Linked DNA regions of Callithrix jacchus. The protein of the gene in region 1 interacts with the protein of each later gene in a pairwise test. Links are inferred from orthologs where the notes say so. Each region holds a gene or a part of one and is shown on either strand. Other genes may lie near its edges.

Region 1 (3,820 bases):
AGTGCAGTGGCATGATCATGGCTCACTACAGCCTTGACCTCCCCAGGCCCAAGTGATCCACACACCTCAGCCTCCAGAGTAGCTGGAACTGCAGGCGTGTGTAACCATTCCTGGCTAATTTTTTAATTTTCTGTAGAAATGGGGTATCACTATGTTTCCCAGACTAGTCTCAAACTCCTGGATTCAAGCAATCTTGCCATCTTGACCACCAGAATGCTAGGATTACAGGTATGAGCCACTGCACCTGGCTGAGAAGCATTCTTTAGTCCTATAGTTGTTAGGTCTTGGTCTTTTAGCGGATGTGAACTTGACAAGTGCTTCTCAGGTGTTTTTCTCCACCATTAGATGGGACAGGATGGCTAGAGTAGACTGAATGTGAGTATTTCCCTTCTCCCAGATCAGTTTGGCTCTGGTATACCCCAGAAGGTCAGGCTGTGGTTAAGCAATTTCTCTTGGGGGCAAGACTTGTTAAGAACAGAGTACTCTGGCATGTTTTAAAGTATTTTGTTTTCTCTGCCCCCTGCAAGATGCATAAAGAGATTTTGCTTCAATATTCACTGAATATCTAACCAAGTTCCTGGAGGCAAAACTCACAAAATTGTGGAGGCCCCTCTATCACTGGGTTCTCCTGAGTCTTTTAACTCAGACTTGTCCACACTGAGCCTCCAGTGATTTTTCAGTTATGCTTCAAGTTTTCCTACTCTGGCATTGGTTCCCATGGTGGTTTCCACTTTTGAATCTCTGCTCTAGTAAGCTGTGACTCCCTATCTTTGCCTGTCTCTCTAATCTTTGTGGCAGCAGTTTTCCCTTTTTCCTCACCTCTCTTATAGGTCTAAGACGAGTTAATGACTTTTCAGTGTGTTCAGCTTTTTACTTGTTAGGACAGAGTGGCAACTTCCAAGCTCCTTACATGCACAACTAGAAGCCAGAAGTTTTTTGTTAAATTAAAGAAGTTTGACAGAGGGGTCAAGAGACCTGGGTCTACCCTTTTTTCTTCATCTTTAAAATGATGTGTCTATACAAGATAAGTAGTTTTCTAAACTGCATTCCTAAGAACCCTGAAAATTTCGTGGCATTGCCTCAAGGACTTCCAGGAATGTGAAGCTCCAAGCCTCCACCCACTCCTTGTTCAACCATAGCAGCTCAACTTTTATCTTTAATCTTTTCATGTATATTAGACTTCTATACAATTTTATTTGAAATAGGGTTCTAGTTCCCCCTCTTCAGAAAAAGCTTATAAATCACAGAGATCACCACCTGCTCTCAAGTATTATGACCCTACAATATAAAATCTTGTCAGTTGTTGAAATCTTTTGCTAAGAGTATATGAAGAAGTAGAAGAGAAAAAAAAATATGAGGGCACTGGGAATGAGTAACTGTACCCTACAGTGAGGAAGAAGATTGTTGAAATGATAGATTGAAGTCCTGAGTAAAAAGCTTCACAATTTTGCATTTTCTTAGCTCAATTCTCAGGTACAAATAGTGTCCCTTTTTAGTTAGGTTTTATAGTAAAGATTTGGAACAGTTGGAAAATATTCTTTTCTTTATTTTTAGAATGAAAGAAATGGATCGACTTTTGACTTGCCTGAATAGAGGTAAATAGCTCCATGGTTATATTCAGTCCTTCATCTTGCCTCCATTCTCTATTGAATTCTCCAAGTACACTGAGCACACGGACTTTAACCTTATGTTTGAGTTAAGCTTCATGCTTCTTATTAATGTTTGCTACAGGAGTCTATTTTGGTTTCTTCATTCACAAGCAGAGAAAAAAAAGTGTGTCATCATTAGCATTCATCTCCAAATGTGATTTCAGCTCTGTTTTAATTCCTATTTGTTTTAAGGACATCTCCTTCCCTCCCTCCCTCCCGTCCTCCCGTCCTCCCATTCTTTTTTCCTTCCTTTTGTCCTTCCCCTTCCCTCCCTCCTTTCCTTCTCTCCCTTCCTCCTTTCTCACCCTCTTTGTCCCTCCACCTTTCTTTTCTAGTAGCCACTTGATCCTAATCTAAGAAGTGAACAGGTGAAAAAGGATCAAGACAAATAAAAATACCCTGAACCCTGCTGGTTTTCCATACCCTCTGAATCAAATTCAGATTGTATAGTCTCTTATTTTGAAGCTCTCCACCCAAGTCTGTACCATCTGCCTTATCTACTAATAATTTTTCCCTGTCCACTTTATTCAAGCTAATCTCCTAGCTATATAACATTTCTTTTTCCAACTACATGCCTTCTTACATGGCATCCCTTTTAACAGATCTCCCATTTTTACTGTCCATGTACCTCTTTCCTTATGTCCAAACACACCAAAAAAGTTCATATCTTAGAAATTCTATCCTGCTTATTCCAGTATCTCAATTTTATACCTCAAATGCCTGTCAACAGGGTATTAAACATAGCAAAGTAGTTTAGAAACCAAACCACTTCTTTTCAAAAGAGAAAAACTTTGTTGGATGGCATTCTTATTTCTCAGAAGGACATCGGGTATGTAATAAATGCTTTCTGATAATGATAACATGTTCTGGTTCTGTCCTGAGCTTGCTGGTTCAGTAAATATTATGTCAGTGTATTGATACTCTTCCAATTCTCAGTCCTCTAGTTCAGTCTTTTAAACAATTGTTTCTGTTCTTTATTTCCTCACATGTAAATCATATCTTTCCACCTCAGGTGGTGAATGATTGCACTGATTAAAATTATAAATCTCTCCAAAGACATGTTTGTTCCCAGAGTTTGAATTAACAACTTCTTGGAACTCAGTAATGCTTTTTGTCATTTTAATTACTTTTGGTGTGCACCCACACACATACACACAAAAAAGAACTTTCTAAATTCAAACTCCTGTAAGACTGTTCTTAAAGCAGGATTAAAGAACTTTGCTAGAGTATAAGATAAAACTCTCAGTATCAAATTTTCCTGTTTGATGCAGCCTTTGTGAAACTTTCTCAGCCTAATGGTGAAGAAGCCTTCAGTTTGGAGTCAAGAGCTAATGAAGCTCAGTGGTTTCGAAAAATGGGTAAGAGGAAATTCTTTGGCTATGGGAAACATTGTGGGGGGGTGGAATCAGACAGATGTGATTTCAAAATCTGGATCTTTCATTTGTAACTGTGGGTACAGTGATAACTTGCTTAATCTGTTTCATTACTTTATAAAATGGAAATAATTATATATACTTCATATAGTTATTAAGGGTTTTAAATGAAACAGCATATGTACTTGGTATCATAGTAGATTCTCAATGGACATTAGTTGTCTTCCTTTTCTATAGGAATGAGTCTAAGATTACACTAATGAATAAACTATAACTACAGGTCCCCAAGGTTGTACTCCTGAACTTGGTTTGAAATACTTAATTTATTTCTAAATGTGATTGACCAAAAATAAACTATATACAACAATGTGGATGAATCACATAATGTTGAGCAAAAGAAGCCAGACATTGAAGAATACATATTGCATTGTTCATTTTATTTATAATTTTAAAAACAGGCAAAACTAATATATGGTGTTAGAAGTCAGGATAGTGGTTATCCTAGAAAAGGAGTTGGACTTGTAAGTTGTAGGAGCTTCAGGGTTTCTGGTAATGTTCAAGATCTTTCTTGATCTGGGTGCCAGATGCGTGAATATTTCCACTTTGTGAAAATTCAGTAAGCTGTACAATTATGAGTTGTGTAATATACTTTATAATGGCTCTATTTCAATAAAAGTGATTTTAAAACTTGTGGAGGCGGCCAGGCACAGTGGTTCACACCTGTGATCCCAGCACTTTGGGAGGCCGAGGCTGGCATATCATGAGGTCAGGAGTTTGAGACCAGCCTGGCTAATATGG
Region 2 (4,597 bases), on another chromosome or scaffold:
GCATCTTTATTTCTTTAATCATTTATTTAACAACTAACCAATTTCCTTAATGAAGGCTCATGTTCTCCACAAATATTGTCTGAAAATTAAGTAATAATAAAACAAAAAATAAGAATTGCTCTTACTCGTCCAGATCCATGAAGTCCACAGTTTTTGGTACAATGTCTAGTTCATTTGTTAGCTCGCAATACATTTCCCTGCCCTTAGAAATACTTAAATAGGTAGTACCCCAAAATGAATCTTACTAGATCTGGTTCAAGTATTTTTATCTTTCTAATTAAACTAGTCTGTAGTTACCAGAGGTGGTTTTGTTTGCAGATACTGTTAATATATTAGTCTTTACTTATAAATCTCTCTGCTGCAGAGAAAATGATATAGAAACTGCAAAGAGAGTAAGTAGGAAAAAACTAAACTCAGGCATCTTTTTAGATAAATGCTATTGTCTATCAAGACTTACCAAACGCCACATTAGTCCTTAGGAAATGGATTGTGCAAATATGAAAAATAAATTTTCTTTTAATTTCTCTATGGAGATGTAATGAAAACACAAGTAATCTGTGGTCATGAACAATTAGAACTTGAAAGTTAGTCCCCCTTCTAAGTATAAAGAAAGTATAAAATAAAAATCACCCACAATCCCACCATTCAAAAATCACTACTCAATATTTCAGCACATTTCCTTCCAATCTTTTTTTCTATTTTAAAAATCATAATAGGCCAGGCACGGTGACTCATGCCTGTGATCCCAGCACTTTGGGAGGCTAAAGTAGGCAGATCACTTGAGGTCAGGAGTTTGAGATCATCCTGGCTAACATGGTGAAACCCCTTCTCTACTAAAAATAGAAAAATTAGCCAGGTGTGGTGGTAGCAGGTGCCTGTAATCCCAGCTTGAGTGACTGACTCAGGAGAATCAATTGAACTGGAGAGGTGGAAGTTGAGGTGAGCTAATATTCTGCCACTGCTCTCCAGCCTGGGTGACGGAGAGAGACTCTGTCTCAAAAATAAATCACTTAATTTAATTTAATTTAAAAACATAGTAAATAGGCTATCTTTAAAAACTCAAGGTTTACTTAGACCATTTATTAAAGAAGTTTGTCCCCTCATCCCCAGGAAAAAATTTTCTATTATCCTCCTGACCTGCAATGCATTCATCCCCTTCAAAGGCAACTCATCAACAGAAAAATCAAATGACACTTTAGCCACTCAGCTGCTTTCCTTCATATTTGAAGCATAAATCATTTAATTAAAATTAAAGATTAACAAAGCCTTGGTCATTGGCATGCATCCTCTTAATTCCAAAGATGGCTTAGCTATTCTTAGCTGTCAGTTTTTTACAAAGGTATTTGCAATGAAAGGGTCAACTTTAGACTTCTCTAAACCTCTGCTCTACCTCTCTCTCTCTCTCTCTCTCTCTCTCTCTCTCTCTCTCTCTCTTTCTTTCTCTGTTAATAACCTTCCTGGTGTTAGACTGGTGTTAGATATTTGTTTAATAATCAATAGTGGCTTCTTTTCCTATCATTGAGTATTTCAGAAAGTAGCATAACCAAGTCAATGTTTAACTGGATTCTTTGGGTCTGAAGTGGCAAAGTTGAAGGAAGTCTCCATGGAAACCAGCCTCCCAGGAAGTGGCCAGAAGGGTTAGTGTGCAGTGATATAGAGCTAGAAGGATGCCTGCTAGAAGGAAATGACTGCTTTGTAAAGCCAGGGTAAACTTCTGAAATGCCTTGATTAAAACAAGCTATATTAAAGACCCCAAAACCACTTCAGTCGCAGCTTTCCTCTGAATGTCTTTCACATGAAATGGGCCTGAGTCGCTCTAAGGCTCACCCTAGGGTGATCAAAGTAGCACCTTTGCAAAACAAAGAGGGAGAGACTCCCTCGGCTGGCCCTGTGGACTTTGCATTCAATCAGAATTTGGAAGAAAAGACTTCATATTTGCCGGCAAGACTGCAGGACCAGAATAAAGCTTCGGAAGGGCAGCTGCCACCTTTACAAGAAACCTCGTATGGAAGATATTCTGCAGGTAAACATAAAACCCAGCACGAGATGTGTGCATCTGGATCAAGGAGCATTATTAATAGATTTATCTGACTGTCTCCATGATCTCAAAAAGTTCCGAAATTACTGAAATGTAAAGGAATTTAGGCTATCTTTGAAAACTCAAACAGATCTTTCAATGAAGATTAAATGTCAATTGAAAGTATTCTGGGTACATTAGAGTGGGAGTATAAACTGCACAAAGGGCTTTTCACTGTTCTATATGAGAAGGAAAAATCATTTCCTTTCAGCTCAGTTTGTAATGCTTTCAATGTTTATACCTAGCTTTGCCAGACGATTAAAATTATATAGATACTAATGTGATAAACGATAGCAATCACGTTTCAGTTAGATTCTAAATTTAAATCATTCTCTCCAGTACAGTTTAATGCACCAGGCTTTGTGGTTTTCAAAACAGCACTTTAGGAGTGAAGTCATTCTAACGTGAATTTTGAAACCATCCTAAACAGAATTGATTTATTGCAGTCCAGAGGAGTGGATGAGTCACCCTTTCCCAGCCCCACATTCTTCATGGTCGTCTGCAGAACGAACAGAATTCTTTAACATTATGATTGGAAGCTCTAAGCCTGAAGTGGCTATAAATTATCCTGGGATATTTTATAAGCCATGTAAAATATTTTATGATGGCCACAATGATAATTAAACAGATATTCTCACTTAGAAAGAGAAATATATGTTTATAATATACACATACGTATACATGTATATTGTTTTCCCTTTTCTTCACCTTCTGGATCATTAACGCCAAGAAGTTTCCCTTATTGGAAGCCTTGTTCAGAAAGCCTCACTTTTTCTTTTGGTACCTAGTAAATCTTGCCTGGAATGATTTTTTATGGCTACTGTCTGGAGAACTGATAACCTTTGGTTGGTTCCATATGACCTATTTTTATGTTCTTTATACTCTCCAAGTTCTTAAGCACATGGATGGGAATTTTCCTCTTAAAATTTTTTAATGGTAGATAGATATATAGGTGATTAGACATGATTTTAAAAATGGAGCATGAATGTGTAATAAGAGTATGCAATGCTCCTCTTGAAGAATTCCTTTTTTATTCAAACTCCCTTCCAGAGTTTTAAGATTTTGGTAACAGAGACTCTTTTTAAAAAAAAAAAAAAAGATTTTGGTAACTGAATAAATGGTGAAAGCTGATTCATGTGCTTTAGAGTCCTAACTGGAAAATGTGCTTATGTTTGAAATGACAAAATCACATTAAATATAAATAACCAGGAGATCATGAGGATTCTGATAAGTATTTTCCATATTCTTACCCCAGCTCCATCAAATACCAAATCGTATGACCTTGGGCAAGTTACTTCATCAATTTTTTTCACTTGTAATCAAGGGTAAAAATAAATGCCTGACATAGCCTATGCCATTTGAGGAGAATCTAATTAAATAATGAAATAATATCACTAAGATCATAAAACAAAATAAGTAGTAGGAAGCTTCTGAAAAAAAAATAGCTGAAAATACTTACATTTTTAAATCCAATATGTTTGTTGTTCTTTCTGTCCTGCTCAGTACACTGGCATCTTTTCAAAAGAAAATAAGGACATGGTTTCCATCCCACTAAAAGTTAGAACAAAGTTCCTAAAATGGTCATTCACATGTCTTAAGGATAGAGATGCATAATTACTCAGGGATTTTTTCATTTTAAATGCAAAGTGGGACTGTAAAATAGTCTACGAAACAATCTAGAAATCAGACTGTGCCCAGATTGTTAAAAGGGAAGGACAAGAATTTCATTCATGCAGCGTTGGTCATGGTAGCACTCCCAAGAGCTCAGGATAATCAAGCTGGAAAATAAAATCCATATGGACCTGTTGAGCCTCTCTGTTTCCTAATAGAGGCTTAACTCTGTATTCCCGGCTTGTTTTATCAGGAAAGAATATTGCTATGTTGTATTATAGTAGCAACCTGTGGACATTTCTTTCCTAGTTAAAAGGACTATTTGATTGTGATTACACATAATCCATTTCTTTCTCATCTTTGTGTAATCACCTATCATCTATTTTATCTGAGAAGATTATTTTCATTTTTTAAAGTTACATGTTTTTTCTGATGTCTTATATTTTGGGGAGGAGATTTTATGGAATTAAAACAAGTCAGTAAATGTCTGTTTACCAGACCAAATTCTGTTTGAAAAATACTTGCAGTCAACATATTGGTAATTTTGTAACTCTTTCCCTGCATATGAACCTGAGTAGGAAGTTAAGAGAGCAGAAATTGAATCCTGGGTCTAGACTAAAATAGTGTCATTTGGACTAATGTGGGTTCCCTGCTTTCTGTGTTTCATCTCCACATTCAACCCATGTTAGATATAAATAACTGAAAAGGTACAAAATTGTGTTGACAAACTCTAGTAACCAATGATTGCCTGGTGTAATTGTAAATTATATTTAATGATTTACTCTTTTTTATTCTCCAATCCTTCAAGCTTCCAGAGATGTGTATTTTGACATCCCATTGGAACACAAAGAAACAAGTATTATTAAAAGGCATCCACCCCAAAGACTGCAAGTAAGATGAATTTAAAAG

What was found.
Region 2: the proteins of TEX11 (region 1) and CCDC198 interact in binary tests that used the Homo sapiens proteins (3 or more experiments, as listed by UniProt). The two-hybrid records come from large-scale screens. The link is inferred for Callithrix jacchus from reciprocal best matches to the Homo sapiens genes TEX11 and CCDC198.

The regions. Positions count from the first base shown.
Region 1 is NC_133524.1:67,901,033-67,904,852, reverse strand, and holds part of TEX11 (testis-expressed protein 11), read left to right. Parts: intron 1-1,554; coding exon 1,555-1,595; intron 1,596-2,920; coding exon 2,921-3,007; intron 3,008-3,820. UniProt on the Homo sapiens protein: Regulator of crossing-over during meiosis. Involved in initiation and/or maintenance of chromosome synapsis and formation of crossovers.
Region 2 is NC_133509.1:92,135,054-92,139,650, reverse strand, and holds the start of CCDC198 (factor associated with metabolism and energy), read left to right. Parts: upstream 1-1,661; 5' UTR 1,662-1,800; coding exon 1,801-2,023; intron 2,024-4,496; coding exon 4,497-4,579; intron 4,580-4,597. UniProt on the Homo sapiens protein: May be involved in tuning the metabolism, energy expenditure, and excretion processes.